7 linked regions of the Macaca mulatta genome follow. The protein of the gene in region 1 purifies or fractionates together with the protein of each later gene. This does not show direct contact. Links are inferred from orthologs where the notes say so. Each region holds a gene or a part of one and is shown in the gene's direction. Other genes may lie near its edges. The genes, in order: H2AZ1, MRGBP, CHD4, EPC2, BRD8, MORF4L1 and ANP32E.

Region 1 (3,880 bases):
ATGCACTAAAACACTACAAATGAGATTGAGACACTACTGTCCCCAAGCAGCTGGAGATATACGTAGGTGTTAATAATCTACTAGTTGGAAGGATAGTACTGTGTGTACAGTATCATTATTTTAACCTCATCATTTGCAGTTGATTGCATTGCACCGACCCTCTGTAACTGCCTGTGAATCATGTCAGAGTTACTCCGTCGACATTTGCCGAACATTTGTCATGTGGCAAAATATTTATTGTAGAAAAGTTGACACATAATAGCTCTGAGGTTTCACTAAATGAGCTTTACACATCAGGCTACAGGTACAACTCATTGATGTGTAGTCTCCAAAAAATACGGTTTATGATTTAAGAATACTGCCTCGCCAGAAGCTCCTTAAGTGTAAACAAAAAGGGTTTCGTGACCAGTGAGGTGACTTGGCTTCACCGTTTGCTGTTACAGAACTATTCCGTGGGGGATTTCATAAGTAGTGAGGGAGAGGTGGAAGACCCGGCTGAAAATAAAGTGGGAGCAACCCGTCCTGATCTGTTGTTGGTGACTGGGGATTCGCCTAGAGGGAAGAAACACGGAATCTCTACTAAGGCTGAGGAAGGCGTCAGGGCAAACCTCAGCCTCCCCTCACTGGACGCGTTCGCGCCACCTGTCAGACTGGAAGAGCCGCCAGGGATTGAGAGGGTCGGGAGAGGGTGCCCGGGGCCCCGGAAGGCGGCTGCAGGTCGCAGGTCTCCGCCCGAGAGGCGCTGGGGGTGGGGTTGGGAGCGGTGGGGGCTGCGTGCTAGATACGGACGAGACTTCACGTGGTCTCCAAAGCCCTGCTAGGGGACCCGGGGCGCTACCGCGCGCCCCTCCCCTGAGGTCTCAGCTCCTCCTCCCCGGCACGTGACCGCAGCTGGCTGGTAACTGCGCTCCCGCAGAGTAGCTTGCTCTGTTTCTTCCCTCCCGCCGCGGTGCCCTTCTTCTCCCCCGTTCCCATCCCTCCGCCCTCCCCCGCTTCGCTCCTCACGTCCCAATCGCGGCTTGAGCTTAGAAGCGCCCGCCCCTCCACCCTTTTCTTTGCTTGCTCATTGGCTGAAGTCTCAAGGACGCGTCCCGAGGGCGGGTGGCAGCCATTGGTGGGATGAGCAATCCGAGTTCCCGGATGAGGGAACATTCTGCAGTATAAAGGGAGCAGGGAAGGCGGGAGACAGCGCAGTTTGAATCGCGGTGCGACGAAGGAGTAGGTGGTGGGATCTCACCGTGGGTCCGATTAGCCTTTTCTCTGCCTTGCTTGCTTGAGCTTCAGCAGAATTCGAAATGGTAAACTTCGCAGAGACGCTCGATGACTTCGCGGGTTTTTGCCGGCGGGAGAAAAACCCGTTACACGGGGGATGGGGGTGAAGTGGCGACGGTTGGGAACGCGCGGAGACAGGATTAAGAAGAGCGGGGGGAGGTGTTTTGTCGGCTGCTAGCGGAGCAGCCTCGGATCTCGCGGCGGGCGGCGACGGTTGGGTGGCGCGCGCAGCGCCGCTGGGGGCCGGCGGGCGGGCGGAGGCGCGCGGCCGCGGCGAGCGCGCGGCGGGGGGCGGACGGGCGGGGTCGCCCCTGCGGCGCGCCGCGGGCCAGAGACCCCGGCGGGGTGCGGGGACGCGCTCGCGGCGGGACGCGCCGCGGTGGGGGATGGGCGCGCCGCCTTGGTAATTCTATATTCTCCGTTCCTCCTCCGCTCGCGGGCGTGTGCGCGCCGCAGGCTGGCGGTAAGGCTGGAAAGGACTCCGGAAAGGCCAAGACAAAGGCGGTTTCCCGCTCGCAGAGAGCCGGCTTGCAGGTCAGTAGTTGTTCGTGCGGTCTGGGAGTCGTGATGTTTTTCTTTGCATCTCCTTTTTTGTTATTCACCGCTCTCCATGGGCGTTTCGTCTATGCGTGGGTGATGCGGTGTCGCGACTTGGGCTGCCCATACGATAAATATGGGGGGGAGGAATCACGTGTTTCGATGTCGGGACGCGTTGCTGCGCCCGTGCCACTTGCTTTGGCGCGCATATAATTTCCCCATCTCTAGTTCTCCTATTTTTGTGCATTTATGTTTGTGTATGCTTAAAATTTAAGTTCCCAGTGGGCCGTATTCATCGACACCTGAAATCTAGGACGACCAGTCATGGACGTGTGGGCGCGACTGCCGCTGTGTACAGCGCAGCCATCCTGGAGTACCTCACCGCAGAGGTAAATGGGTGAACGCCTATAATCCGGAGAAGGTTTGGGGGGCGGGGAGACGGCAAGAGGGAAGGAGGAAAGTGATGCAAGAAAACTCACAGGCCCTGAACGCGGCGAGAGGCCTAAGAGAACGCTAGAGGGAGCTGCTGTTCAACAAGGATCCTACTGAGCTTGAGTTCTCTGCTCTTGGAATTAAAATTGCGTGCCCCCTGTATATCTTGCCAGTCAGATAGTGGGGAACGACTCCAGTTGGTAGATAAGCGTTTGTGAGGGTTTTATTCTGTTCTCTGAATCTTGGCCAAAGGAAAGTTGGAAGGGAACTGATTAGATTCTGCCTTCTAGGTACTTGAACTGGCAGGAAATGCATCAAAAGACTTAAAGGTAAAGCGTATTACCCCTCGTCACTTGCAACTTGCTATTCGTGGAGATGAAGAATTGGATTCGCTCATCAAGGCTACAATTGCTGGTGGTGGTATGTTAACTTCTAAAATTTTTAAAAATTTCTTCAGAGGAAGGAATTCTTTGCTGCTTTAATTTCATTAGTTTTTCTAGAAGAGAAAATTTAAGTATATTTTCATTGATGCAAGTATGGTTTTATCATGAAATTTGATTCATATGTATAACTGAATTTTTACTTCATACTTGAGCTGCACGTTTTTAAAGATACTTGAACAGTATACTTTTTTTGGTTTCAAATACTGTGATTTTAAAAAAAAAATCTTAAGTAGAATTAATTCCTGTCACTCTCCTAGGTGTCATTCCACACATCCACAAATCTCTGATTGGGAAGAAAGGACAACAGAAGACTGTCTAAAGGATGCCTGGATTCCTTGTTATCTCAGGACTCTAAATACTCTAACAGCTGTCCAGTGTTGGTGATTCCAGTGGACTGTATCTCTGTGAAAAACACAATTTTGCCTTTTTGTAATTCTATTTGAGCAAGTTGGAAGTTTAATTAGCTTTCCAACCAACCAAATTTCTGCATTCGAGTCTTAACCATATTTAAGTGTTACTGTGGCTTCAAAGAAGCTATTGATTCTGAAGTAGTGGGTTTTGATTGAGTTGACTGTTTTTAAAAAACTGTTTGGATTTTAATTGTGATGCAGAAGTTATAGTAACAAACATTTGGTTTTGTACAGACATTATTTCCACTCTGGTGGATAAGCTCAATAAAGGTCATATCCCAAACTAGTTGTGTATTAAATTGGCTTGATTGTAATATGAATTTGTTTTGAATATCTAGCAGCAATAACTAAGCACATTTCTTTGTGACTGACCTGTCAAATCTAGATCAACAAAGTGAGATAGACCAAGTATATATTTTTAATGTTATATAATAAGCTACTAAAGTTTTAATTTAAAAAGTTGTCAGGAGCTGGAGTGGGAGCATTTCAGTTTGTGCATTGACTTTGCTTGCTGTGTGACAGCACTGCACTAGTATGCTGTTAGTGTGGTGGACTTGGGGAGGGAGAGAATAGGTAGGAATGTCCTGTATATCCACATAATGAACTCCGAATTTAAACTCTGAAGCTAATAGTGCTACGTGCTAGGCCCTGCTTTGAAGTCTGAAATTGAAATTGTTAAGTGCTCAGTAACATCATTGGGGATATACTATCTCCATTTTATTGAAGAGAAGCAGGCTTTCTTATTTGAAAGTACCGAGTTCTGGTGGTAGTTGGAATTAACAGCTT
Region 2 (4,067 bases), on another chromosome or scaffold:
CCGCAGTGACTCGCGTTTCCCTCCCCCTCCCCCGTCCCCGGCAACTGTGCGTCTACTTTCTATTTCTATGGAGTTGCCAGTTCTGGCTCTTCCTGTGAATGGATTCCCATGCTGCGTATTTTGGTGTCTGAATTCTCTGACTTTCGTCTCAGCCCGCACCCACGCTGCCGCAGTCCGCGCTCGCGGCTTTTAGGCTGAACGCGGCTGCGCCGTGCGGGTGCCCGCGCTCCGTGCGCCCCTAGCCGGTTCAGCCCCGGTTGGGGGCGGCGCTAGCCTTGCGGCTGCGGATCCCAGCCTGAACCTGTGTCTTGTTCCACCGTTGCGGGCGCCCGCCACGGAGCTGCTGCCTCCTAGGGAGACGGTTCCATCGTTGAAGGAACGGCCGTTCTGTCTTTCGCAGCAGCGACTCCATCTGGCCCCACAGCACGACCGCACGAGGGTCCCGAGTCCGGATCCTCGCAGTACTCGCCACCCCGGCCGCGTAGTTGCGGCGGTCTCGGCGGGGAAGGGGGTCCCCACGCGGGCTGGTTCGCGTTTCGCGTGACCGATGGTGTTCATTGGCCATCTATACATCTTTTTTTTTCTTTTTCCCGAGTCGGAGTTTCTCTCTTGTTGCCCAAGCTGGATTGCAATGGCGCGATCTCCGCTCACTGCAACCTCCGCCTCTCGGGTTCAAGCGATTCTCCTGCCTCAGCCTCTCGAAGTAACGGGGATTACAGGCGCCCGCCACCACGGCCGGCTAATTTTTTTGTATTTTTAGTAGAGACGGGATTATGCCATGTTGGCCAGGCTGGTCTCGAATTCCTGACCTCAGATGATCCTCCCGCCTCGGCCTCCCAAAGTGCTGGGATTACAGGCGTGAGCCACCGCGCCCGGCCCATCTGTACATCTTCTTTGGAAAAATGTGTATCCAAATCCTTTGCCGTTTTATAGTTAGACTGTCTTTTTATTATAGAGTTATATTTATACCTTCTGCAAGGAAGTTCCTTATCAGATACAGGATTTGCAAATACTTTCTCCCAATCTGTGGGTCGTCTTTTCACTTTGCTGATGGTTTTCTTTGAAGCAAAAAAGTTTTCTGTTGTTGTTTGGGTGAAGTGTTAGAACACTTACTGTGCTTTAAAGAGGAACACGTTTTAAGCACCCCCGCACGGGGCGGAGCAGGGCGGAGTCCCCGGCGGGAAGGAACCCGAGGCCTCGGCTGCGCCTGCGCCGACGCCGGCGCGTGAGCCCGAGCTCGTGCCTGGCGGAGCGCGCGCCCGCCCCCGAGTGCGCCTGCGCGGAGCTCGTGGCCGCGCCTGCTCCCGCCGGGGGCTCCTTGCTCGGCCGGGCCGCGGCCATGGGAGAGGCCGAGGTGGGCGGCGGGGGCGCCGCAGGCGACAAGGGCCCAGGGGAGGCGGCCACCAGCCCGGCGGAGGAGACAGTGGTGTGGAGCCCCGAGGTGGAGGTGTGCCTCTTCCACGCCATGCTGGGCCACAAGCCCGTCGGTGAGCGCCCAGGCCGCGGACGCGCGTGGGGGCGGGGCGGGCAACCGGCGGGGCGGGGCGGGGCCTGCGCTCGCGACACCCGCGCCCCCACGCGCCCCGCCGAGCCCGGGCCGTGACACCCCCGCCACACCCGTCCCGGGACCCCCGCCCCCTCCCACGCGCCCTTCGGACCCCGCCCCGGACCCCGCCCCCGGCCCCTACCCCCGTGACACCGCGAGGCCCCAGCCCGCAGCGCCCCACCCCCACCTCTGCCCCGGGACGCCCCACCCCCTCCCACACACACCACCCAGCCCTGCCCCCCGACAGCCCCTCCGCACCCTGGCCCACCCCATCCCACCGCGGCCACCCTTGCCCCTCCAGTCCCCAGGGCACCCTGTCCCCTCCATCCCCTTTCTCCTTCTCCTCCCCTCTGACCGGTTGTCCCGCCGCCCCTCCTCCCCCCAGGTGTGAACCGACACTTCCACATGATTTGTATCCGGGACAAGTTCAGCCAGAACATCGGGCGGCAGGTCCCATCCAAGGTCATCTGGGACCACCTGAGCACCATGTACGACATGCAGGCACTGGTGAGCCCAACCACCCTCCCTGTGCTGCCCGATGGGGGCACGAACCCACACACCGCTGAGGGTCAGCCTGAGCTGGGCAGAGCAGAGGCCCCTCCATGCCTGCTGGGGTCTGCTGGGCAGAGCCCCCTGCAGTGAGACCCATCCTTAAGGAGGGCATCCCAGGGCTCCAGAGCCTGTCATGGAAAGCACAAACACAATGCTAGCAGCTGGCCAGCTTTTCAGGGGGCCTGCTTTAGACTGGGTGCTGGGCCAGAGCCTCCAGCTGAGACCCTGGGGAGGGAGGGAAGGATGCAGAGTCCCCAGGCCCTTAGGCCCTTGTCAGCCTCCCGGGATGCCCCAGAAGTGCTTTAGGCAGAGGGTGACCCTATCTGAGTCACACCAAGGTGAATTTGGTGGCTTCTGTGGGAGTCAGGCAAATAGAGTCCCAGTCCTCACAGAGCTTGGAGCTGGCAGTGTGTGACGGGCGAGCGCGTTAGCTAGGTAAGCAGGCTGGCCACAAGAGACAGGTGGGTGTTGCAGGCTCTGTGGCAGCAGGAGGTGGTGGGTCCAGGAGTTGAAAGAAGGTGGTGTGCTTGGAGAATGGGGTGGGGGTCAGGGGTCAGGTGACCAGGAGGAGTGGGGACCTGTGCTGGTGGAAGGAGAGTCTGTGCCAGCCACGCTGGACTCAGGGCCACACCAGCCCTTCCAGGAAGACATAGGGGCACCACTGAGGCAAGGAATGCTTGCCGTTGACATTGGTGGAGTGATGTGGGTCTCCTTGTCATAGCTGTAGAAAGGGGACAGAGATGCCAGCCGTGCAGGGGCCTGGCTGTCTGAGGAGAGGAAGGATGCTCAGCCCTAGAAATGCCCTGGAAGCTTAAGCCCCTGTTGCTGCCGCCTCGTGTGTTGAGGACGTTCTGAGCCAGTGCGGCATTTGCACTGGGTGACCAGTACCTAGTGGCCCAGACACAGCTGGCTACTAAGCTCACAAGGTCCTCCCTGGACCCGCTCCTCCCTAGAGCGTATCCATCAGCCATTGAACTCTGGTCACCACCCCTCAGGGTCAGAGGCCCCCTGTCACCAAACTCCCAGCAGCTTCTTGGTTGTGGGAGAGGGCGCTAGGTCCCCAGACACCTCCCACACCGGGATTTGGAGAGATCGGTGTAAATCTATGCCTGTCTCTGGGGAAGACAAACAGCTCCAAGGCCCATAATGTCCCCTGGGGCATGGGTGCTGGCTCAGATGAGCACAGCAGCCCACATGACACTCAGGAAGCCATGTGGGACCGCCAGGCCTTTCAGCCCTAGGACTGTGGCCCTGTTCCTTATTCCTGCAGTGGCCTATGACATCAGTAAGGACTGGGCAAGACCACAGGCTGGCACTTTCTCTGGACCATGACACTTCTGTGTGACTGAGATCTGAGTCTTTCAGACCTTATGAAATACAGAGCCCCTGGAGTACCCCCGAGAGGCTGACCAGCTGGCCCAGGAGATTTTGAGGAGCACAAATGTGGCCTGACTGCCTGTTCCATACAGCACCCAAACTGCCGAGTAGAAGCCCCTGTCTCCTGAATCGCCTCCCAGTCCAGGGCCCTTCCCGCCAGCTCCACTTTTCCCTGGCTCCCGGTCTCTCCCTCTGGTCTGTGTGACCTCAGGAGGGCAGTGCCTGGCAAGCACTCGGGTGGCCCTGCTCCATCTGCTCTTCTTCCTTGCCTGGTTCTGTGCCTGTGGCGCTCCCAACTGACACCCTCAGTGTCCATGGGTTCCTGCCATGTGGATGAGAACTCGAGGTGCCTGCGGCCTTTCCCCAGGGCTGTCACCGTGCCCTCTGCACACCGCCTTAGGGAACGCAGTCTCTTGGTGAGACCATAGGTCGTGGTGGGCAGGCAGGACCCACAGGTGTGCAGTCTCTTGGTGAGACCGTAGGTCGTGGTGGGCAGGCAGGACCCACAGGTGTGCAGTCTCTTGGTGAGACCGTAGGTCGTGGTGGGCAGGCAGGACCCACAGGTGTGCAGTCTCTTGGTGAGACCGTAGGC
Region 3 (3,500 bases), on another chromosome or scaffold:
CAGGGGATACGCAGCCCAACACTCCTGCACCTGCCCCACCTGCTGGTAAGTCTGCCTGTCCTATCATTTTCTGTCCCTCTCTTTTTGTCCTGGCCTATTTTTCTGCTCCCCTGTGCTCAGTTCTAACAGGGTAGTCTGGCAGGACACACAGTAATTTCCCTCTCAGTTTAGGAGGGCCGTCCTAAGAATGGGGCTGGCTCTTAAAGGCACGAGAGGACAGTTTAAGATGAGACAAACTGGGAAGAAATGACCTTCTCTCTGATGTAGGACCTTCTTCCTAATTGATTGTCTCTTATTGTTCTGCAGAAGATGGGATCAAAATAGAGGAAAATAGCCTCAAAGAAGAAGAGAGCATAGAAGGAGAAAAGGAGGTTAAATCTGTAGCCCCTGAGACTGCCATTGAGGTAAGAGATGGGGGTGACTGAATGCCACACTAAAAACAAATGTATAAGTCCAGTCTTCCTTGTAGTTGCTGGCCTGTCTGCTTCATCTGTTTTGTTTTTGTTTTTTTTTCCTTTGAAGTGTACACAGCCCCCTGCCCCTGCCTCAGAGGATGAAAAGGTCGTTGCTGAACCCCCTGAGGGAGAGGAGAAAGTGGAAAAGGCAGAGGTGAAGGAGAGAACAGAGGAACCTATGGAGACAGAGCCCAAAGGTAAAGGTATCCACGTTTTTTTTTTTTGAGACAGTCTCGCACTCTTGCCAGGCTGGCGTGCTGTGGTGCCATCTTGGCTTACTGCAACCTCCACCTCCCAGGTTCAAGCGATTCTCCTGCCTCAGCTTCCCGAGTAGCTGGGATTACAGGCATATGCCATCATGCCCAGCTAATTTTTGTGTTTTTAGTAGAGACAGGGTTTCACCATGTTGGCCAGGCTGGTCTCAATCTCCTGGCCTTGTGATCCACCCGCCTTGGCCTCCCAAATTGTTAGGATTACAGGCATGAGCCACTGTGCCTGGCCTTTTTTTTTCTTTTTTTCTTTTTTTTTTTTAAAAAAAGGAGTTTCACTCTTGTTGCCCAAGCTGAAGTGTAATGGCGCGATCTCGGCTCACTGCAACCTCTGCCTCCTGAGTTCAAGCGATTCTCCTGCCTCAACCTCCTGAGTAGCTGGGATTACAGGCATGTGCCACCATGCCTAGCTAATTTTGTATTTTTTAATAGAGGGGGTTTCTCCATATTGGTCAGGCTGGTCTCGAACTCCTGACCTCAGGTGATCCACCTGCCTTGCCCTCTCAAAGTGCTGGGATTATAGGCGTGAGCTACTGTGCCTGGCTGGTGTCCATATTTTTAGGCACTACAGATCCCTGTGTGAACCATGGTCACTCATGAATTTTCACTGGGGCTGTAGAGATATCAGGAGGAAGCGATACACTGAAGAATCCTGCACCCTTGATTTTAGGTGGCAGGTTTTCCTATCTCTTATGACTTTATTATTTTTTATTTTTTTTTTTTGAGATGGAGTCTCACTCTGTCACCCAGGCGGGAGTGCAGTGGCACAATCTCTGCTCACTGCAACTTGCGCCTCCCGGGTTCAAGCGGTTCTCCTGCCTCAGCCTCCGAGTAACTGGGATTACAGGCATGCCACAACCATGCCCAGCTAATCATTTATTTATTTATTTATTTATTGAGATGGTGTCTCACTCTGTCGCCCAGGCAGGAGTGCAGTGGCATGATATTGGCTCACTGCAACCTCCACCTCCTGGGTTCAAGCGATTCTCCTGCCTCAGTCTCCTGAGTAGTTACCATGCCCGGCTTTTTTTTTTTTTTTTTTTTTTTTGAGGTGGAGTCTTGCTCTGTCGCCCAGGCTGATGTGCAGTGCAGTGGTATGATCTCGCCTCACTGCAACCTCCACCTCCTGGGTTCAAACAATTCTCCTGCCTCAGCCTCCTGAGTAGCTGGGATTACAGCACGCACCACCATGCCCGGCTAATTTTTGTATTTTAGTAGAGACGGGGTTTTACCATGTCGGCCAGGCTGGTCACAAACTCCTGACCTCGAGATCCACCCACCTCGGCCTCCCAAAGTGTTAGGATTACAGGCGTGAGCCACCATGCCTGGCTAATTTTTGTATTTTTAGTAGAGACGGGGTTTCACCATGTTGGCCAGGCTGGTTTCTAACTCTTGACCTCAGGTGATCCACCCACCTTGGCCTCCCAAAGTGCTGGGATTACAGGCATGAGCCACCACACCTGGCTAATTTTTGTATTTTTAATAGAGATTGGGTTTTCCCATGTTGGCCATGCTGGTCTTGAACTCCTGACCTCAAGTGATCTGCCTGCTACTGTCTCCCAAAATGCTGGGATTACAGGCATGAGCCACTGTGCCCAGCTGACATTACTGTAATCGCAGACATTTAGATGTAGGTCTATCCAGTTGGATAATAGTGTGTAACAGAGGAGAATGTTCTTCCTTTAGGTATATTTTCAATAACATTTCTTCCCCTAGGTGCTGCTGATGTAGAGAAGGTGGAGGAAAAGTCAGCAATAGATCTGACCCCTATTGTGGTAGAAGACAAAGGTGGGTGTTTGGAGAAGTTGATTGTGGTTTAGAAGAACTCTAAAACCGGAAGCAAGGACTGTATCTGCCCTGCCTCCCTGTCCATACTCATCTAGCCATTTTATCCCAAAAGACTGCACCTGTCCCCAGTGGGCCAATGGCACCATTTTCTGGGTCTGAGAGACACCCAGGTGGAGAAGGGGTGGAGGTGGATGGATTCTTGTAGCATACAGTGTTCTGGGTAAGGGCGATGGGTGCTGGGCTTTGGCTGGAACCGACATTTTTCTTCCTTATATTCTGTAGAAGAGAAGAAAGAAGAAGAAGAGAAAAAAGAGGTGATGCTTCAGAATGGAGAGACCCCCAAGGACCTGAATGATGAGAAACAGAAGAAAAATATTAAACAGCGTTTCATGTTCAACATTGCAGATGGTGGTTTTACTGGTATGGAAATGAGGGGCCCACCAGGGTTAGAAGGATCGGATGTGAAATTGGGGTTCTTGTCAGAAACCGTGGTACAGGGACTTTACCTCTGTTCGATGAGGGAATGCCAAACTGATAGTGTACTCCCCTGGGTTCTGTGGAGAAAGCCAGAAGCAAATTATATAAAGATGGATCCAGGGATGGGGGATGGTGGGGGACAAGAATAAGTAGCATTTTCAATTCTCACAGATGTTTGCTTCCCGCCCCCCCTCCCACCTTCCCTAAATTCCTCCTCAGAGTTGCACTCCCTTTGGCAGAATGAAGAGCGGGCAGCCACAGTTACCAAGAAGACTTACGAGATCTGGCATCGACGGCATGACTACTGGCTGCTAGCCGGCATCATAAAGTATCCTTTGCCTGAATCTGGACTGAGGCTTTTGGTTCTGAAGGTCTCTTAGTTTGAGGTTTTTACTTTTCTTGTTTTGTTTTTCCTGAGCACTTTTCCAATAGCCATGGCTATGCCCGGTGGCAAGACATCCAGAATGACCCACGCTATGCCATCCTCAATGAGCCTTTCAAGGGTGAAATG
Region 4 (3,500 bases), on another chromosome or scaffold:
TACTTTGTACACATACGTTAAAAGCTGCATTTTTTTTAAAAAGATACATTCCTTTTTAAGTATAATGGACCCTAAGTGAATTTATCTTTAGAAACTAAATTCAGTTTGGGTAATCTTGGTGAGTGAACTTTTGATTCAGTTTTGTAAAATTTAACCTGATTAATAGTCAGTGAAGCCCGATTTTTACAGTTTTATGTCTAGATTTTAATTGTTCTGCTAATGTTGCAGTTACTTCATGTTTATCATGATCTAACCTGTCTTCATTTCAAATTTACTCCATGAGTTTTTTGGGTTTTTTTTTTTTCTTTCTTTGCAGCCTCGTTTGGACCAAGCTAACCATTCATGTGAAAATTCAGAACTGGCAGATTTGGATAAGTTGAGGTATAGGCATTGCCTTACAACACTTACAGTCCCAAGAAGATGTATAGGATTTGCAAGGAGGCGAATTGGCAGAGGTGGAAGGTGAAGTATTTGTTTTCACTTTTGGTATTTGTTTTTTGGTTTTTGGTTTTTGTTTGCTATCTGGAACAGAAGACAAAGAAAAAATGTTCAGCTGTCTTAGTTAATGTTTGGTTTTATTTTGCTTTTCAGGGTCATAATGGACCGAATATCCACAGAACATGACCCAGTCCTAAAACAGATAGACCCTGAAATGCTGAATAGTTTTTCAAGCTCTTCCCAAACTATAGACTTTTCTTCTAATTTCTCTCGGACCAATGCTTCCAGTAAACATTGTGAAAATAGACTGTCCCTTTCTGAAATATTAAGCAATATCAGATCATGTCGACTACAGTGTTTCCAGCCAAGGCTACTAAATTTACAGGACAGTGATAGTGAAGAATGTACCTCAAGAAAACCAGGGCAGACTGTGAACAATAAAAGAGTTTCTGCAGCATCTGTAGCTTTATTGAACACCAGCAAGAATGGCATATCAGGTAAGCTGTTGCTGTGTTAAAAGTATATCCTGCTATTCTTTTTTACTTAATTTTATTGGGAAAGGAATTTTATCTTAACCTACTGCATTTTTTTCCCCAACCTAAGAAACAAAATTGTACTGTTCTGCCTCACATTTTAACCAAATTGTCCTAACTAGTACTGTAAAACCACTGACATCTATTTCGGGTGTATTCCTGGTGTGGTAAATGTAGGCAGAATGCATACAGACTTCCCTACAAAGCAGACTGCTTATAAGCTGCCACCAGATAATCACAGCGCAGTACTATCTACTGCTTATGTTAAAGGTAATTTTCATTTTGGTGCGTAATCTTTGATTAAATGTAACCATTACTCCTTGAGAGTACCTTTGAAAACTCTTTCTGGAAAATGATTTTTAGGAGACTCCCTGTGAATAATTTTTTTTTTTTTTTTTTTTTTTTTTTAGATGGAGTCTCGCTGTATCACCCAGTCTGGAGTGCAGTGGCATGATCTCAGCTCACTGCAACCTCTGCCTCCTGGGTTCAAGCGATTCTCCTGTCTCAGCCTCCCAAATAGCTGGGACTACAGGAGCATACCACCATGCCCAGCTAATTTTTGTATTTTTAGTAGAGACAGGGTTTCGCCGTGTTGGCCGGGCTGGTCTCGAAATCCTGACCTCAGGTGATCCACCTGCCTCAGCCTCCCAAAGTGCTAGGATTATAGGCATGAGCCATTGTGCCAAGCCCCTATGAATAATAATTTTTGTCCGATAGCTTACCTCTAGTTAGATCAGGAAGTTTTTTCATTTTTAAGAGATGTATTCAAATTAATGTAATATTTTTATGACATGTACATTGTAAATAATGTATAATATCTGGAGAATCTAAGGTACAATTTTGATTTGTTTTCTTCTGTGGTCTGTTTTATCACATGTATGCAAGTATGTATAATTTATAAATATCTTTATAATGTATACGTTGTATATATGCATTGTATCCCAAGACTAACATAGAGACTTACACTGTTGATACCTTTTTTTTTTTTTGTATTTCTAAATTACTTCCTGGATGATACATTCTAGGATGTGAAATTATCATATTTAAACTTCCTTACAGTGATCATGAATCACTTTAGCTTGATTGGTCTCAATAATGTTCAGTCTCTTTTAGCTACTGAACTGCCTCTTTTCCAACTTGACTTGTACAGTGATTTGTTTAAAGGTTATAATGAAATATTGGATTTGTTTGAATGATTAGAAATTGGCATATCATTTATCCAAATTAGTTGGTTAATTTTCTCCTAAACGAACTTAAGTAAGGAAAATGGCCTCCCATTATATAAAGTTCATGAGTCTGTGAAGTTGAAAGAGTGCTTGAAGCTGAAATGGATAAATGTGTAATACAATTTGAGGCTGCGGGATTATTAGAAATCTAAAGATAGTAGAAAGTTGACAAGTATTAAATCAGATCTTTTTTCAGCCAGCTCTAAGACAAAGTTCCAGTTTATTTAGCTAAATGGAATTCCTGTACTAAACATTCTCAAAATAATTTTTCTTAAAAAGAGAGTTTAAAACACACCATATAGAGGCATTTATAATTACATTTGACCGTAGGCTGATTGTTTTCTCTGCTGATGTATACCACATTAAAAAGTGATTTTAATGTCTTCCTTCTCAGCGTGAACATTGTCAGATATTTTCAGCTTCGTACTATACATTCCAGATTAACTCTAGATTTAACTTGACTTTTTTCCAGAAAGTATATATGTGTTGTATATATTGTTTTTTTTGGTTTTTTTTTTTTTTTTTTTTTTTGAGACAGAGTCTCGCTCTGCCACCCAGGCTGGAGTGCAGTGGCCAGATCTCAGCTCACTGCAAACTCTGCCTCCCGGGTTCAGGCCATTCTCCTGACTCAGCCTCCCGAGTAGCTGGGACTGCAGGCGCCCGCCACCTCGCCCGGCTAGTTTTTTTTGTATTTTTTAGTAGAGATGGGGTTTCACCGTTTTAGCCAGGTCTCGATCTCCTGACCTCGTGATCCGCCCGTCTCGGCCTCCCAAAGTGCTAGGATTACAGGCTTGAGCCACTGCACCCGGCCTGTATATATTGTTATATCATCAATACAACATATGTATTGGTCCAAAATATAAGTTAATACGACTTAAATAGTTCCATTATAATCACCTCTATAATCCTATGACACTACCATACAACATAAAATAAGCATTTAAACTGTTACGTTAGGCGTGCATGTACTTCTCAGGGAATTTAAGTCACAAGTTGGCTATGTTAACATCATAGACAACAAGATTTTTTTGTATTTTTATCTTTACATTACCATTAGAAAAAAAATAATCTTCTTGGTCTGTGTGATTTTTCCTATCTGAAATTTTTTAATACCCTCAACACAGTACCATTTCTTTCCTTAAAAAATTTTAAGACTTAAGCAACAACTAAGGTACATTAGAATTCAGTGTTTTGAAATCATATCTGTCTTATTTAGTAATTTATTCCTAGAGTAAAAGATTTTGTTTGAACTCATTCTTCTTGACTGTGACTCCTCTAGTCACTGGGACCACAAGGTTTTTTG
Region 5 (4,006 bases), on another chromosome or scaffold:
GCCACTCCCCAGTTCCTTTACCTGCTGCTTGTCCTCTAGGGAGGTAGAGATGACAGAGCAGTCTGACAGCAGGTTCTTGCGTACCACAGACCCCAAATCTGCAGCTGTGGACTCAAACATGGGAGAGACTACGACATCGTCATCGGACAGCAAGCCCGCTGGCGGAGAAAGGATCCCTTGCGACATGACGGCAGGGGCAGCCTAGGTCTAAAAAGAGACCAAAAAGTGGGCAGGGAGAAGAACCTTTAGGGACAGAAGGGGCCGCGAATTTTAGGTAATAAGTCCCTTGCCCCAGGACACCGGGTCCCGCTCCCTACTTCCTTTCCCCTCTAATTATCGGCAAAGGGGAAGGGAATGAGAGAAGTTCACTTAATGAACAATCGAGAGAAGTTTGAGGTTGCATTTCTGAAAGCGAACAGAAGTCCACAGAAATCTGGCTCCAAAAGCAAAAGGCCAGGCCTAAAGTAGGGCACCTCGCCCGCCGGTGCTGTGGAGGTGGTGTCAGGATCCCTCGGCTCCTTTTCTAACCTCAAGGACCACCGTGAGAACAGAGATGCAGCATTAAGAGAAAAACAGATGGCTGCAGTTCCGATTTCTTAAAGCCTATTCCGCGTGGGCAAGAGCTGGTAACCCGGGCTCCAGCACAGCCGCACACTCACCCGAAGACGTGCCACTTGCTCCTCCTCGGGTACCGGCTCACTCACACCTAGTCGCCGAACCTGGACTTTCGCAGCCGGAGAGCACAACTCCGCCCACGAGGTGCAGCTTTGTTACCGATACAATATTTTAAATTACGCGCTGCGTTCGTTCGGCCAATGAGATAGGGAAGTCTGCAGCTACCAATCCGCGTAAGGAAAAGGGGCGGGTCCGACTGGAATTCCAGTAGTTTGCATCCGCTTGACCTCTCAGATCTAATGTGGGTCCGGGTTACCAACTGTCGCGGGTTAGGAGTTATTTCGCTTGGGATTCTTCCAGCTTAACCCTTTTTCTTGAACCTTAGACATTTCTTACCTAAGAACCCTAAAGGAAATCTTGAGGCTTCAGCCGCCAACCCCTGTCCTTCCTTAGCAAAAATCTTAAAAGGATTGCACAAGATAACTGGTTTAGGGTGCTTGCTTTGTCTTAGGGGAAAAAACGACATTTCCCAGGAGGCACCGCGAACCAACGCCGGTACTCTACTTCCCAGAATTCCAGGGTTTCGGCCCTACCAGACCGTCTCTCCTCAGGGTTGGAGACTTCGGGGCCAAGATGGCGACGGGAACGGGCAGTGAGTATCTGAGCAGGTTTTGCGTGAAAGGCGTTTGTAGATCCGAGGCTAGGCACCATATTTTTGTTACACGCTTAGGGAGTGGGAGAAGTGGTTTGCTTGAGAGCTCAGGGTTTTCAGAGACCTGCGCTCCACAGCATCGTGAAGACCAACGTTTGGGGGCCCAGAAATCTGGGGTCTTGTTTCTCAGGGAGGGAGCGGAGGTGTGAGAGAAGGAGCTTAGTGAATCCTAGTGTGTTAGGAGCCCTTCGGGGTAACCGTAAAAGCACTCTAGAAACTTGGGCGTGCAGACGAAAAGATGTTATGAGCCAGACGGAGTAACCGGCACCTCAAAGAGCCATTCATTTTTTGTTCGACGTTTGTGAGGCAGTGGAAGTGGGGCCTTTTAACCATGAGCTTTTCTTGCCACTCAGGAAATTGCATCTCGGGGATTTCAGCCATTTTTCTTTTAGTGGACTGAAAAGGTCTTTTAGGCCCGACATTTGGAGTAGAGGATCTGAGAGAAGTAAACAAGTTTATGCTAAGAGGGAGGCGGGGTTGTAGGAGGGGCTGGCCGCTCGGGTTCCTGGGAAATAAGCCCTGAATGAGTTCAAACTGGAATAAAGTCCAGTGTTCTTAAAACTGGGCTTTTAGGGAGAACTGCCTAATCTGACATTCCCAATTTTTTAATAAAGCGGAGCTTCAAGCCGTGGCGTTTTAAGAAATAAAATGTTAATAATTCACATGCAACAAATTGGTACCACGGTCACTGGTGATACTTCACTTGGAGAGGTGAAAATCAAGATTTGGTGATAGTAGCTCACTTTGTCCTAACAAGTTGGAATATTTTGTATTAGGCTTTTAGTCCCCTTTTTGGGGATTTTGGAGCTTAGCACTACAGTCTCAGTGGTTGCTTCCAAGGCTTTTTTTTTTTTCGTTTCCCAGAACACAAGCTGCTGAGTACTGGCCCCACAGAGCCATGGTCCATCCGAGAGAAGCTGTGTTTAGCATCTTCTGTCATGAGAAGTGGAGATCAAAATTGGTAAGCTATCTAGGATGTCAGCTTTTCTGGGTCTTAGAAATTGTTAGATACTCTTTCACATTGATAGATTTCTGTAGTTAATCATATTAAGCTGTAAGTAGACTTTTTCTTCTTCCCTTTTTTTTTTTTTTTTTTTTTTGAGACAGTCTCCTTCTCTCGCCCAGGCTGGAATGCAGTGGTGCAGCCACGCCCAGCTAATTTTTTTAGTTTTTAGTAGAGACAGAGTTTCGCCATGTTGGCCAGGCTGGTCTCGAACTCCTGACCTCAGGTGATCCACTGGCCTCAGCCTCCCAAAGTGCTAGGATTACAGGCGTAAGCCACTGCGCCTGGCCATGCCTGGCTAATTTTGTATTTTTAGTAGAGACAAGGTTTCACCATGTTGGCCACGCTGGTCTCAATCACCTGACCTCATGATCTGCCCGCCTCGGCCTCCGAAAGTGCTGGGATTACAGGCGTGAGCCACTGCTGCCGGCCTTTTTTTTTTTTTTTGAGACAGGGTTGCACTTTGTGGCCCAGGCTGGAGTGCAGTGGTGTGATCTTGGCTCACTGCAACCTCCATGTCTGAGGCTCAAGTGATCCTCCCACCTCAGCCTCTTTAGTAGCTGGGACTACAGGTGCACACCACCATGCCCAGATAATTTTTTGTATTTTTTTGTAGAGATAGGGGTTTCATCATGTTTCCTAGGCTGGTCTTGAACTCCTGGGTTCAAGCGATCTGCCCACCTCAACCTCCCAACCTACTGGGATTACGGGTGTGAGCCACCAGGCCAGCTGTATTTTTTTTTTTAAACAGCTTTATTGAGATATAATTCACATACTATAAAATTAACTTACTTAAGATGTACAATATAATGGTTTTTAGTATATTCACAGTTGTGCAGCCATTACCACAATCTAATTTTAGAACATTTTCTTTATTTTTATTTTTTTTATTTTTTATTTTTTGAGGCTCTTGCTTTGTTGCCCAGGCTGGAGTGCAGTGGCGCAATCTTGGCTCACTGCAAGTTCCGCCTCCTGGGTTCATGCCATTCTCCTGCCTTAGCCTCTCGAATATCTGGGACTACAGGCGCCCGCCACCACGCTCAGCCTATTTTTTTTTATTTTTAGTAGAGACGGGCTTTCACCATGTCAGCCAGGGTGGTCTTGATCTCCTGACCTCGTGATCAGCCCACCTCGGCCTCCCAAAGTGCTGGGATTACAGGAGTGAGCCACCGCATCTGGCTGACATAACGCTTTTAAGGTTCATTCTTATATAGCAGGTATCAATACTTAATTCCTTTTTTAGCTGAATAATAATCTGTTATATGAATATACCAAATTTTGTTTATCCATCGCTTGATAGACAATTGGGTTGTTTCCACTTTTTGACCATTATGAATAATGCTGATGATACGCACATTTGTGTACAAGGTTGTGGACAATGTTTTTAATTCTCTTGAGTTTTTTATTCAAGGAGTGAAATTGCTGGGTTATGTAGTAACTCTATTATGTTCGCTTTTTTTTTTTTGCAGACAGGGTCTCACTGTCACCCAGGCTGGAGTGCAGTGGTGCAATCTTGGTTCACTGCAACCTCTGCCTCCTGGGCTCAAGTGATTCTCCGGCCTCAGCCTCCTGAGTAGCTGGGACTACAGGCACATGCCATCATCCCCGGCTCATTTTTGTATTTTTTGGTAGGGATGGGGTTTTGCCATGTTGCCCAGGCTGGACTTTTTTTTTTT
Region 6 (4,215 bases), on another chromosome or scaffold:
AAACAAAACAAAACAAAACAACAGGAAAATAAGGCAGGTTGGACAAGCTTGCAAGTAGCAGCCGTGACAAGATGGTGTATATTCAACTGGAATAACGAAGATTTTTGTGGGTTTCTGTTGTCGAAGAAGGGGTTGTGTTAAAAAGACTGAAGGAGAAATGGAAGTCAGAAAAATGGAGAGGGGCCCGGAAATGGTAGGGTGTGGAACCCGGGCAGGGGAGGGCTTAGAAAAGCCATGGAGGCAGGCTGGGCACGGTGGCTTGCTCCTGTAATCCCAGCACTTTCCGAGGCCAAGCCGGGCGGATCACGACGTCAGGAGTTCCAGATCAGCCTGACAACATGGTGAAACCCGGTATCTACTAAAAATACAAAAATTAGCTGGGCGTGGTGGCACGTGCCTGTAATCCCAGCTACTCCGGAGGCTGAGGCAGGAGAATCGCTTGAACCTGGGAGGTGAAGGCTGCAGTGAGCCGAGATCAGGCCACTGCACTCCAGCCTGGGCGACAGAGCGAGACTCCATCTCCAAAAAAAAAAAAAAAAAAAAAAGAAAGAAAAGAAAAGAAAAATATATAATATTGAAGAAATCCGTTTGTTTAGTGTGTGTACATTCAATCATGGCTCAAAAAATTAGATGACAAAAAAGTACAAACAGGGCAGGTACGGAATGCAGAGGTTGGCATATTCACACTAGCCTTTTGCGGATAGCAGAGCTCCATTATCTCAAAAAGCCAAAGCCTGACTAGTGTTTCCCACGTCATCTTCCTCATTTCCGCAAGGCCGGGACTGGAGAAGAGGAGGTAGACCTGGGAGCCAACAAATGGCTATCAATCCCACCAAATAGACTAGGCAGTGGGCTTGCTAAACAACGAAGCTTCCAGAAGCGGACCCCACTTCCCATCCTCTTGTGGCCACATTGCTGATCCTAAAGCTTTTCTATGCAAAAACTAGCGGAATGCTATTGAATATAGGTTTTCGAGGCAGCCCTATTCTCTCCGGCTACTTCAACATCAATGGGGGCTTATTTGCCCAAAGGACGTCGCAACTGGGTTTTTCCCATTTTTTCATCGCTGGTGGTTCACCGCCCCGACTCTCCCCCATTGCCCGCTCTGCTTTAACCTCCCACGTAATCAATTCCCCGCTTTACCAACCCGCAGCAGCCCGGGGGATGGGGAGTGGCGGGGGGGTGGGGAGGAGTGGGGTAGGGTAGCCGGCCCCTCCCCCACCCAGCTGCGCCTCCACCAACTAGAAACTACCAGTCCCGGCGTGCCCCGGGGCGGCGCGGGCGCAGGGGCGCGGGCGCGGCGGGTTGTCATTGGCTGGAGCAGCGGCTGCGCGGGTCGCGCTGCTGTGAGGTCTGCGGGCGCTGGCAAATCCGGCCCAGGATGTAGAGCTGGCAGTGCCTGACGGCGCGTCTGACGCGGAGTTGGGTGGGGTAGAGAGTAGGGGGCGGTAGTCGGGGGTGGTGGGAGAAGGAGGAGGCGGCGAATCACTTATAAATGGCGCCGAAGCAGGACCCGAAGCCTAAATTCCAGGAGGGTGAGTGTGCGCCTTTGGGAAAAAGGCACCTAACGGCGCAGGAGATGGAGGCGGGCTCGAGGTGGTTGAGGTTTGAGGGCCGGGGGTGGCTCGGGGTGCACCCTGAGAAGGCGGCGGATAGTGCTTTGTGCGGGGAAAGCGCATTGCGGATGGCAATTCCGATGCGTCATTGTGAGCGCTTTGTGAAGCGAGAGTGCTACGCAGGCGTTAGAGTGGGAGAGGGAGCGTTTGGCGCGTGGCACACCCTCGTCAAGTGTTTGTTATTGTTCTGAGGAAGAGGGCGCGGAGAGAGCAGCCTATTGTAGGGAGGCGACCAAGGCGCCATGGCGGCGGTTAGGGGAAGTGATGTGGCGGCGGGGGGAGGGGCGGCGGTGGTTTCTGGCTGTCCTGCAGCGCGCCCGGCCGCTTGGGCAGCCACGACCGGCGGTTAGGTGCTCCCTGGAGCCCCGGGGTGGTCGCGTTCGGTGGAGACTCGGAGCTGCAGATGGGGGTGGGTTTGGCGCCACGGGGCGGGAGAACTGCGTTGTAAAATGGCCGTTGCAACATGGCGGCTTCATCATGGCCGCTGGCGTCTCTGCCCCGTATGCAGGCGCAGCTTCAGGGCAGATGCAGCGCCCCCTTCCACGAAGACCGCAAGGTTGCCGGGACCCTTCGCTTACCTCAGAGTGGTGGGTGGGGACAGAAAAAAAAAAAAAGGATCAGTGGGATGAGCGTTTTCCTCCGCTTTGTGTTGCCTGGAGGCCTCATTCTGCTCTTAGGCGCAGTGCCAAGATCCTATGGTAACGTTAGTGCGCTCTCGCTTTGCAGTTGCTCGTAAAAAGTAAATAAAAATGATCTGAATGCAGTGTTAACGCCGTTTGCCTTTGTAAGTCCCATTGTCTCGACGTCATTTTTTAAATGCAGTAATTGTTTGATTAGTTGCAGTGTTTAACAGTGACTTGAAAGTTGAGTTTATTTTTATTAATTGGTTTTCGATTGGCATGAGGTTTGGCTAGGGTTAGACTGCCAGTGGAAGGCAGCTCTTTAAATTTTCACAACGCTTCAATTTATGTATAATAAGGTGGAGGTCTAATAGCTAAAAAGGAAGTAAAATCCTGTAAAAGGAGGAACACTCTAATATTCGTTTTCATTGCTATGGAAATTTATGCTAGTTACCGTAAATACGGTGTTTCCATGCGTACTATTTTTGTTCTAGGGATTTTTAGACTTGCATTAAAATTCCTTTTAGAGACATAAATCTTAAACCGTAGTACTGCGTATCTTATGGGATATTTAAGGGAGTTTTAGGGGTATTTTGTTAACGAGTGACTTTTTTGTTTTTTTATATATATATATATATATATATTTTTTTTTTTTTTTTTTTTTTTTTTTTTGAGACGGAGTCTCGCTCTGTCGCCCTGGCTGGAGTGCAGTGGCCAGATCTCAGCTCACTGCAAGCTCCGCCTCCCGGGTTTACGCCATTCTCCTGCCTCAGCCTCCCAAGTAGCTGGGACTACAGGCGCCCGCCACCTCGCCCGGCTAGTTTTTTGTATTTTTAGTAGAGACGGGGTTTCACCATGTTAGCCAGGATGGTCTCGATCTCCTGACCTCGTGATCCACCCGTCTCGGCCTCCCAAAGTGCTGGGATTACAGGCTTGAGCCACCGCGCCCGGCCTGTTTATATTTTTGAGACAATGTCTCACTCTGTCACCTAGGCTGGAGGGCAGTTATGGTACTCGGCTCACCTCTGCCCCCCGGGCTAAAGCGAGCCTCCCAAGTAGCTCGGATCACTGACGCGCGCCGTCATGCCCGGCTGAGTTTTGTTCTGTTTTGTTTTTAGGGGTTTTTTCTTTCTTTGTGGGTTTTTTTTTTTTTTTTTTTTTTTTTTTGTATTTTTGGTAGGGACGGAGTTTCATGATGCCCAGGCTGGTCTTGAAGTCTTGGGCTCAAGCGATCCACCCGCCTTGGCCTCCCAAAGTGGGAGGATTACGGGCGTGAGCTATCGCGCTCAGCCGTGTGACTTTTAATACCCTTCTCCCACCTTGAGAATCTGTGACTCTACCTCCTATGGATTCATTATTTTACTAGACGTTTTAGAGCAGATATTCTTAGTGCATTCAGAGGGTCCGTGAAATTGAATGAGGAAGATGTGTTTTTTCTGTGTACCCAAGTTTAGTTTTCAGTTAACAGTGTAATTCCTCCCCCCAAACCCCGAAAAAAAACGCCGCATTAGTATTTTCAGATCTCAGCATTACAGTTGTGGAAGATGTTTTCAGTTATCAATCATTCTCGTTTCTTCAAAATTAGGGTAGTTGCTGGATGACTAGCCAAGTCTTTGTCCTGTAATGTCATAGAACGTGACATTTAAAATGTTTTGGTGTTTCGATACAGTCGGTTGCCTTTGTACTACTGTGTGTTTTATGTATTTATGAAATCATTCGGCTCGTAGGCTGTATCAGACTGTCAAGGCACAAAAAGTTAATCGCTTCTGTAGGAACAGCCTAAGGTTGGCTGTTTAAGGAAGCGCTTTAGTTCTAGAGGGTTGCTAGTTAAGAGGGGAATAGCAGCAGAGAATTCCTTGTGCCTTTTTTTTTTTTTTTTTGAGACGGAGTCTCGCTCTGTCGCCCAGGCTGGAGTGCAGTGGCCGGATCTCAGCTCACTGCAAGCTCCGCCTCCCGGGTTTATGCCATTCTCCTGCCTC
Region 7 (3,500 bases), on another chromosome or scaffold:
TTTTTTTTTTTTAACCTTTTATTCTTTTTCCTTTCTTCTTGATTATTTTTTGAGTCATTTTATTATTTGCCCCCTTTCCTGGTATGAGGGAAGGAAAAGAAAAAGTGACACGAGGCAGGAGAATCGCTTGAACCCGGGAGGGGGAGGTTGCGGTGAGCCAAGATTGCACCATTGCACTCCAGCCTGGGCAACAAGAGCGAAACTCCGTCTAAAAAAAAAAAAAAGAAAAAGAAAAGAAAAAGTGACATGCTGAAAATTATTGCTCTGATTTTGAAAAAAGATTGGAGACTGGGCACAGTGGTTTATGTCTGTAATCCCAGCACTTTGGGAGGCAGAGGTGGGAGGATCACTTGAGTCCAGGAGTTTGAGACCAACCTGGGCAACATAGTGAGACCCTGTCTCTACAAAAATAAAAAATTAAAAAAAATTAGCCAGGTGAGCTGGCTGTGCTTGATATAATAATCCTTCATTATAAAACTCAAAAAATACAAAAATCATTCTCAATTTCAAATGTATATTTTCTGAATCATAAATTAAAAAGAAATGATGTGGTTGGGCACGGTGGCTCGCGCCTGTAATCCCAGCACTTTGGGAGGCCAAGGTGGGCAGATCATGAGGTCAGGAGATTGAGACCATCCTGGCCAACATGGTAAAACCTCATCCCTACTAAAAATACAAAAATTAGGCCGGGCGCGGTGGCTCACGCCTGTAATCCTAGCACTTTGGGAGGCCGAGGCGGGCAGATCACCTGAGGTCAGGAGTTTGAGACCAGCCCAACCAACGTGGAGAAACCCCGTCTCTACTAAAAATACAAAATTAGCTGCGTGGAGGCGCATGCCTGTAATCCCAGCGACTTGGGAGGCTGAGGCAGGAGAATTGAACCCAGGAGGTGGAGGTTGTGGTTAGCTGAAGATCATGCCATTGCACTCCAGCCTGGGCAACAAGAGCAAAAAGTCCGTCTCAAAAAAACAAAACAAAACAAAAACACAAAAATTAGCTGGGCATGGTGGTGCACGCCTGTAGTCTCAGCTACTCGGGAGGCTGAGGCAAGAGAATCGCTTGAACCCGGGAGGCGGAGGTTGCAGTGAGCGGAGATCACGGCACTGAATTCCAGCTGGCAACAGAGCTAGACTCCGTCTCAAAAACAAAAACAAAACAAAACAAAAAACATGGTATTTTAAATCTTGAATGTAAGTTTTAACTTTACTTTTCCAGCAAAATCTTAAAAATTTGAAAAGTCTTGACCTGTTTAACTGTGAGATCACAAACCTGGAAGATTATAGAGAAAGTATTTTTGAACTGCTGCAGCAAATCACATACTTAGATGGATTTGATCAGGAGGATAATGAAGCACCGGACTCTGAAGAGGAGGATGATGAGGGTAATCATTCTTAATACTCATAAGTGTGTCATTATTATAGCCTCTGCTCTAGCTGTGCAAATTAGATTGGGCCTGGAAATTTAGGTTTGAAAAAAAAAATCCACAAGAAGATATTAGTAAGACAAGAAAAAATTAAAAACCCGTAGCTCTAGCCAGTATTTCTTCTTTTATATTTCCTATAGTTTCAGGGAATTTAATGACTATTATAACATGAAGCTCTGTGAAATTTTATATCTGTAGAAAGTTGTACACCCAGTAAAAGTGGCAACGTCTTAAATAGTATTTTTTTTTAAAAAAAGAACCACTTGTAATAGCCAAAAAGTAGAAACAACCGAAGTATCTATCAACTGATGAATGGAATTTTTTTTTTTTTTTTTTTGAGACAGAGTTTTGCTCTTATTGCCCAGGCTAGAGTGCAGTGGTGCAATATCTGCTCACTGCAACCTCCGCCTTCCGTTTTCAAGCAATTATCCTGCCTGGACCTCCCAAGTCGCTGGGATTACAGGCGCCCGCCACCACTCCCAGCTAATTTTTTTATAGTTTTAGTAGAGACAGGGTTTCCCCATGTTGGTCAGGCTGGTCTCGAACTGCTGACCTCGTGATCCACCCACCTCGGCCTCCCAAAGTGCTGGGATTAAAGCCAGCGTGAGCCACCGGGCCCCGGCCCAATGAACAGATTTTAAAAATGTGATTTATCTATACAGTACAATATTATTCCACCATAAATATGAATGAAGTACTGATGCATGCTACATGAATGAATCTTGAAAATGTTCTTCTAAGTGAAAGAAGAGAGACACAAAAGGCCACGTATTGATTGACTTCATTTATATGGAAAGTTCATGGGAAGCCAAGGCAGGAGAATTGCTGGAACCTGGGAGGCAGAGGTTACAGTGAGCTGAGATCGTGTCACTGCACTGTAGCCTGGGCGACAGAGTTAGACTCTGTCTCAAAAACAAAACAAAAAACCGAACAAAAAACTATATATATATGATTCAGAATAGGCAGAAACTTCAGGATAGGCAAATCCATTGAGACAGAAAGTAGATTATTGGTTGCTCGATGCTGGGAGAGAGGAAAATGGGAGAGTGACTGCATATGGGTATGGAATTTCTTTTTGAGGGAAGAAAAATATTCTAGAATTAGATTGTGAGTATACAGTTTTAGAAAAGTGGATGACAGATCAGATGACAGAATGCTGTTAGTAGTGGGATACTGCTTGTTATTATTGAGTGAAAACTTCTTCATTGTAAGAAGAAATTTGATGGATAAACACTGTTACAAAATGATGAAATGATAGATAAGCAGGTTTTTTTTTTTTTAATTTTAGATTAAGGGGGTACGTGTGCAAGTTTGTTCCATGGGTGTATTGCATGATGCTGAGGTTTGGTCTTCTACTCATCCTGTCACCCAAATAGTGAACATAGTGCCTAATAGTTAGTTCTTCAGCCACCCTCCTTCCCCTCTTTTGAAGTTTCCAGTGTCTGTTCCCATCTTTATGTCCCTGTGTCCCCAGTGTTTAACTCCTGCTTATAAGTGTGAACATGCAGTATTTAGTTTTTTGTTTCTGCATTAATTCACTTAGGATGATGGCCCCCAGCTGTCTCTATGTTGCTGCAAAGGACATTATTTCATTCTTTCTTTATGGCTGTGTAGTATTCCATCATGTGTATGTTCTACATTTTCTTTATCCAGTCCGCCATTGATGGGCACCTAGGTTGGTTCCATGTCTTTGGTATTGTGAATAGTGCTGTGGTGAGCATACAAATGCATGTGTCTTTTTGGTACAATGATTTACTTTCCTTTGGGTATATACCCAGTAATGGGATTGCTGGGTTGAATGGTAGTTGTATTTTTAGTTCTTTGAGAAATTTCCAAACTGCTTTTCATGTGGCTGAACTAATTTATATTCCCACCAACAGTATATAAGCATTCCCTTTTCTCTGCAGCCTCTCCAGCATCTCACAAGCAAGTTTTGAAGTATTCACAAAGTAAAACAAACTTTAGTGCATGCAATGTTTTCATGAGACTCTATATATATGTTGGATACTAGTATTTAGAAGCCATACTTCTCGCATATGGTTTGTAGGAATAACTAGGAATGTTGTAAAACAGAAAT

What was found.
Region 2: the proteins of H2AZ1 (region 1) and MRGBP purify together in Homo sapiens (affinity purification with mass spectrometry; 4 studies listed by BioGRID and IntAct, with this or other methods). This does not show direct contact. The link is inferred for Macaca mulatta from reciprocal best matches to the Homo sapiens genes H2AZ1 and MRGBP.
Region 3: the proteins of H2AZ1 (region 1) and CHD4 purify together in Homo sapiens (affinity purification with mass spectrometry; 3 studies listed by BioGRID and IntAct, with this or other methods). This does not show direct contact. The link is inferred for Macaca mulatta from reciprocal best matches to the Homo sapiens genes H2AZ1 and CHD4.
Region 4: the proteins of H2AZ1 (region 1) and EPC2 purify together in Homo sapiens (affinity purification with mass spectrometry; 3 studies listed by BioGRID and IntAct, with this or other methods). This does not show direct contact. The link is inferred for Macaca mulatta from reciprocal best matches to the Homo sapiens genes H2AZ1 and EPC2.
Region 5: the proteins of H2AZ1 (region 1) and BRD8 purify together in Homo sapiens (affinity purification with mass spectrometry; 4 studies listed by BioGRID and IntAct, with this or other methods). This does not show direct contact. The link is inferred for Macaca mulatta from reciprocal best matches to the Homo sapiens genes H2AZ1 and BRD8.
Region 6: the proteins of H2AZ1 (region 1) and MORF4L1 purify together in Homo sapiens (affinity purification with mass spectrometry; 4 studies listed by BioGRID and IntAct, with this or other methods). This does not show direct contact. The link is inferred for Macaca mulatta from reciprocal best matches to the Homo sapiens genes H2AZ1 and MORF4L1.
Region 7: the proteins of H2AZ1 (region 1) and ANP32E purify together in Homo sapiens (affinity purification with mass spectrometry; 4 studies listed by BioGRID and IntAct, with this or other methods). This does not show direct contact. The link is inferred for Macaca mulatta from reciprocal best matches to the Homo sapiens genes H2AZ1 and ANP32E.

Annotation. Positions count from the first base shown.
Region 1 is NC_133410.1:109,266,998-109,270,877, reverse strand, and holds H2AZ1 (H2A histone family, member Z), read left to right. Parts: upstream 1-1,239; 5' UTR 1,240-1,295; coding exon 1,296-1,298; intron 1,299-1,728; coding exon 1,729-1,806; intron 1,807-2,084; coding exon 2,085-2,198; intron 2,199-2,531; coding exon 2,532-2,661; intron 2,662-2,941; coding exon 2,942-3,003; 3' UTR 3,004-3,380; downstream 3,381-3,880. UniProt on the Homo sapiens protein: Variant histone H2A which replaces conventional H2A in a subset of nucleosomes. Nucleosomes wrap and compact DNA into chromatin, limiting DNA accessibility to the cellular machineries which require DNA as a template.
Region 2 is NC_133415.1:115,606,747-115,610,813, forward strand, and holds the start of MRGBP (MRG/MORF4L-binding protein), read left to right. Parts: upstream 1-1,267; 5' UTR 1,268-1,339; coding exon 1,340-1,487; intron 1,488-1,931; coding exon 1,932-2,053; intron 2,054-4,067.
Region 3 is NC_133416.1:7,529,682-7,533,181, reverse strand, and holds part of CHD4 (chromodomain-helicase-DNA-binding protein 4), read left to right. Parts: coding exon 1-45; intron 46-84; exon of another isoform or gene 85-221; intron 222-306; coding exon 307-404; intron 405-522; coding exon 523-658; intron 659-2,192; exon of another isoform or gene 2,193-2,440; coding exon 2,441-2,512; exon of another isoform or gene 2,513-2,788; intron 2,789-2,794; coding exon 2,795-2,932; intron 2,933-3,018; exon of another isoform or gene 3,019-3,066; intron 3,067-3,208; coding exon 3,209-3,317; intron 3,318-3,421; coding exon 3,422-3,500. UniProt on the Homo sapiens protein: ATP-dependent chromatin-remodeling factor that binds and distorts nucleosomal DNA. Acts as a component of the histone deacetylase NuRD complex which participates in the remodeling of chromatin.
Region 4 is NC_133417.1:53,767,105-53,770,604, forward strand, and holds part of EPC2 (enhancer of polycomb homolog 2), read left to right. Parts: intron 1-316; coding exon 317-462; intron 463-591; coding exon 592-935; intron 936-3,500. UniProt on the Homo sapiens protein: May play a role in transcription or DNA repair.
Region 5 is NC_133411.1:147,033,002-147,037,007, reverse strand, and holds the start of BRD8 (bromodomain-containing protein 8), read left to right. Parts: upstream 1-1,206; 5' UTR 1,207-1,248; coding exon 1,249-1,267; intron 1,268-2,191; coding exon 2,192-2,288; intron 2,289-4,006. Other genes in the region: kinesin-like protein KIF20A, read right to left, coding at 22-186. UniProt on the Homo sapiens protein: May act as a coactivator during transcriptional activation by hormone-activated nuclear receptors (NR). Isoform 2 stimulates transcriptional activation by AR/DHTR, ESR1/NR3A1, RXRA/NR2B1 and THRB/ERBA2.
Region 6 is NC_133412.1:57,080,683-57,084,897, forward strand, and holds the start of MORF4L1 (mortality factor 4-like protein 1), read left to right. Parts: upstream 1-1,415; 5' UTR 1,416-1,495; coding exon 1,496-1,535; exon of another isoform or gene 1,536-1,605; intron 1,606-1,687; exon of another isoform or gene 1,688-1,880; coding exon of another isoform or gene 1,881-2,172; intron 2,173-4,215. UniProt on the Homo sapiens protein: Component of the NuA4 histone acetyltransferase (HAT) complex which is involved in transcriptional activation of select genes principally by acetylation of nucleosomal histones H4 and H2A.
Region 7 is NC_133406.1:116,909,796-116,913,295, forward strand, and holds part of ANP32E (acidic leucine-rich nuclear phosphoprotein 32 family member E), read left to right. Parts: intron 1-1,215; coding exon 1,216-1,381; intron 1,382-3,500. UniProt on the Homo sapiens protein: Histone chaperone that specifically mediates the genome-wide removal of histone H2A.Z/H2AZ1 from the nucleosome: removes H2A.Z/H2AZ1 from its normal sites of deposition, especially from enhancer and insulator regions.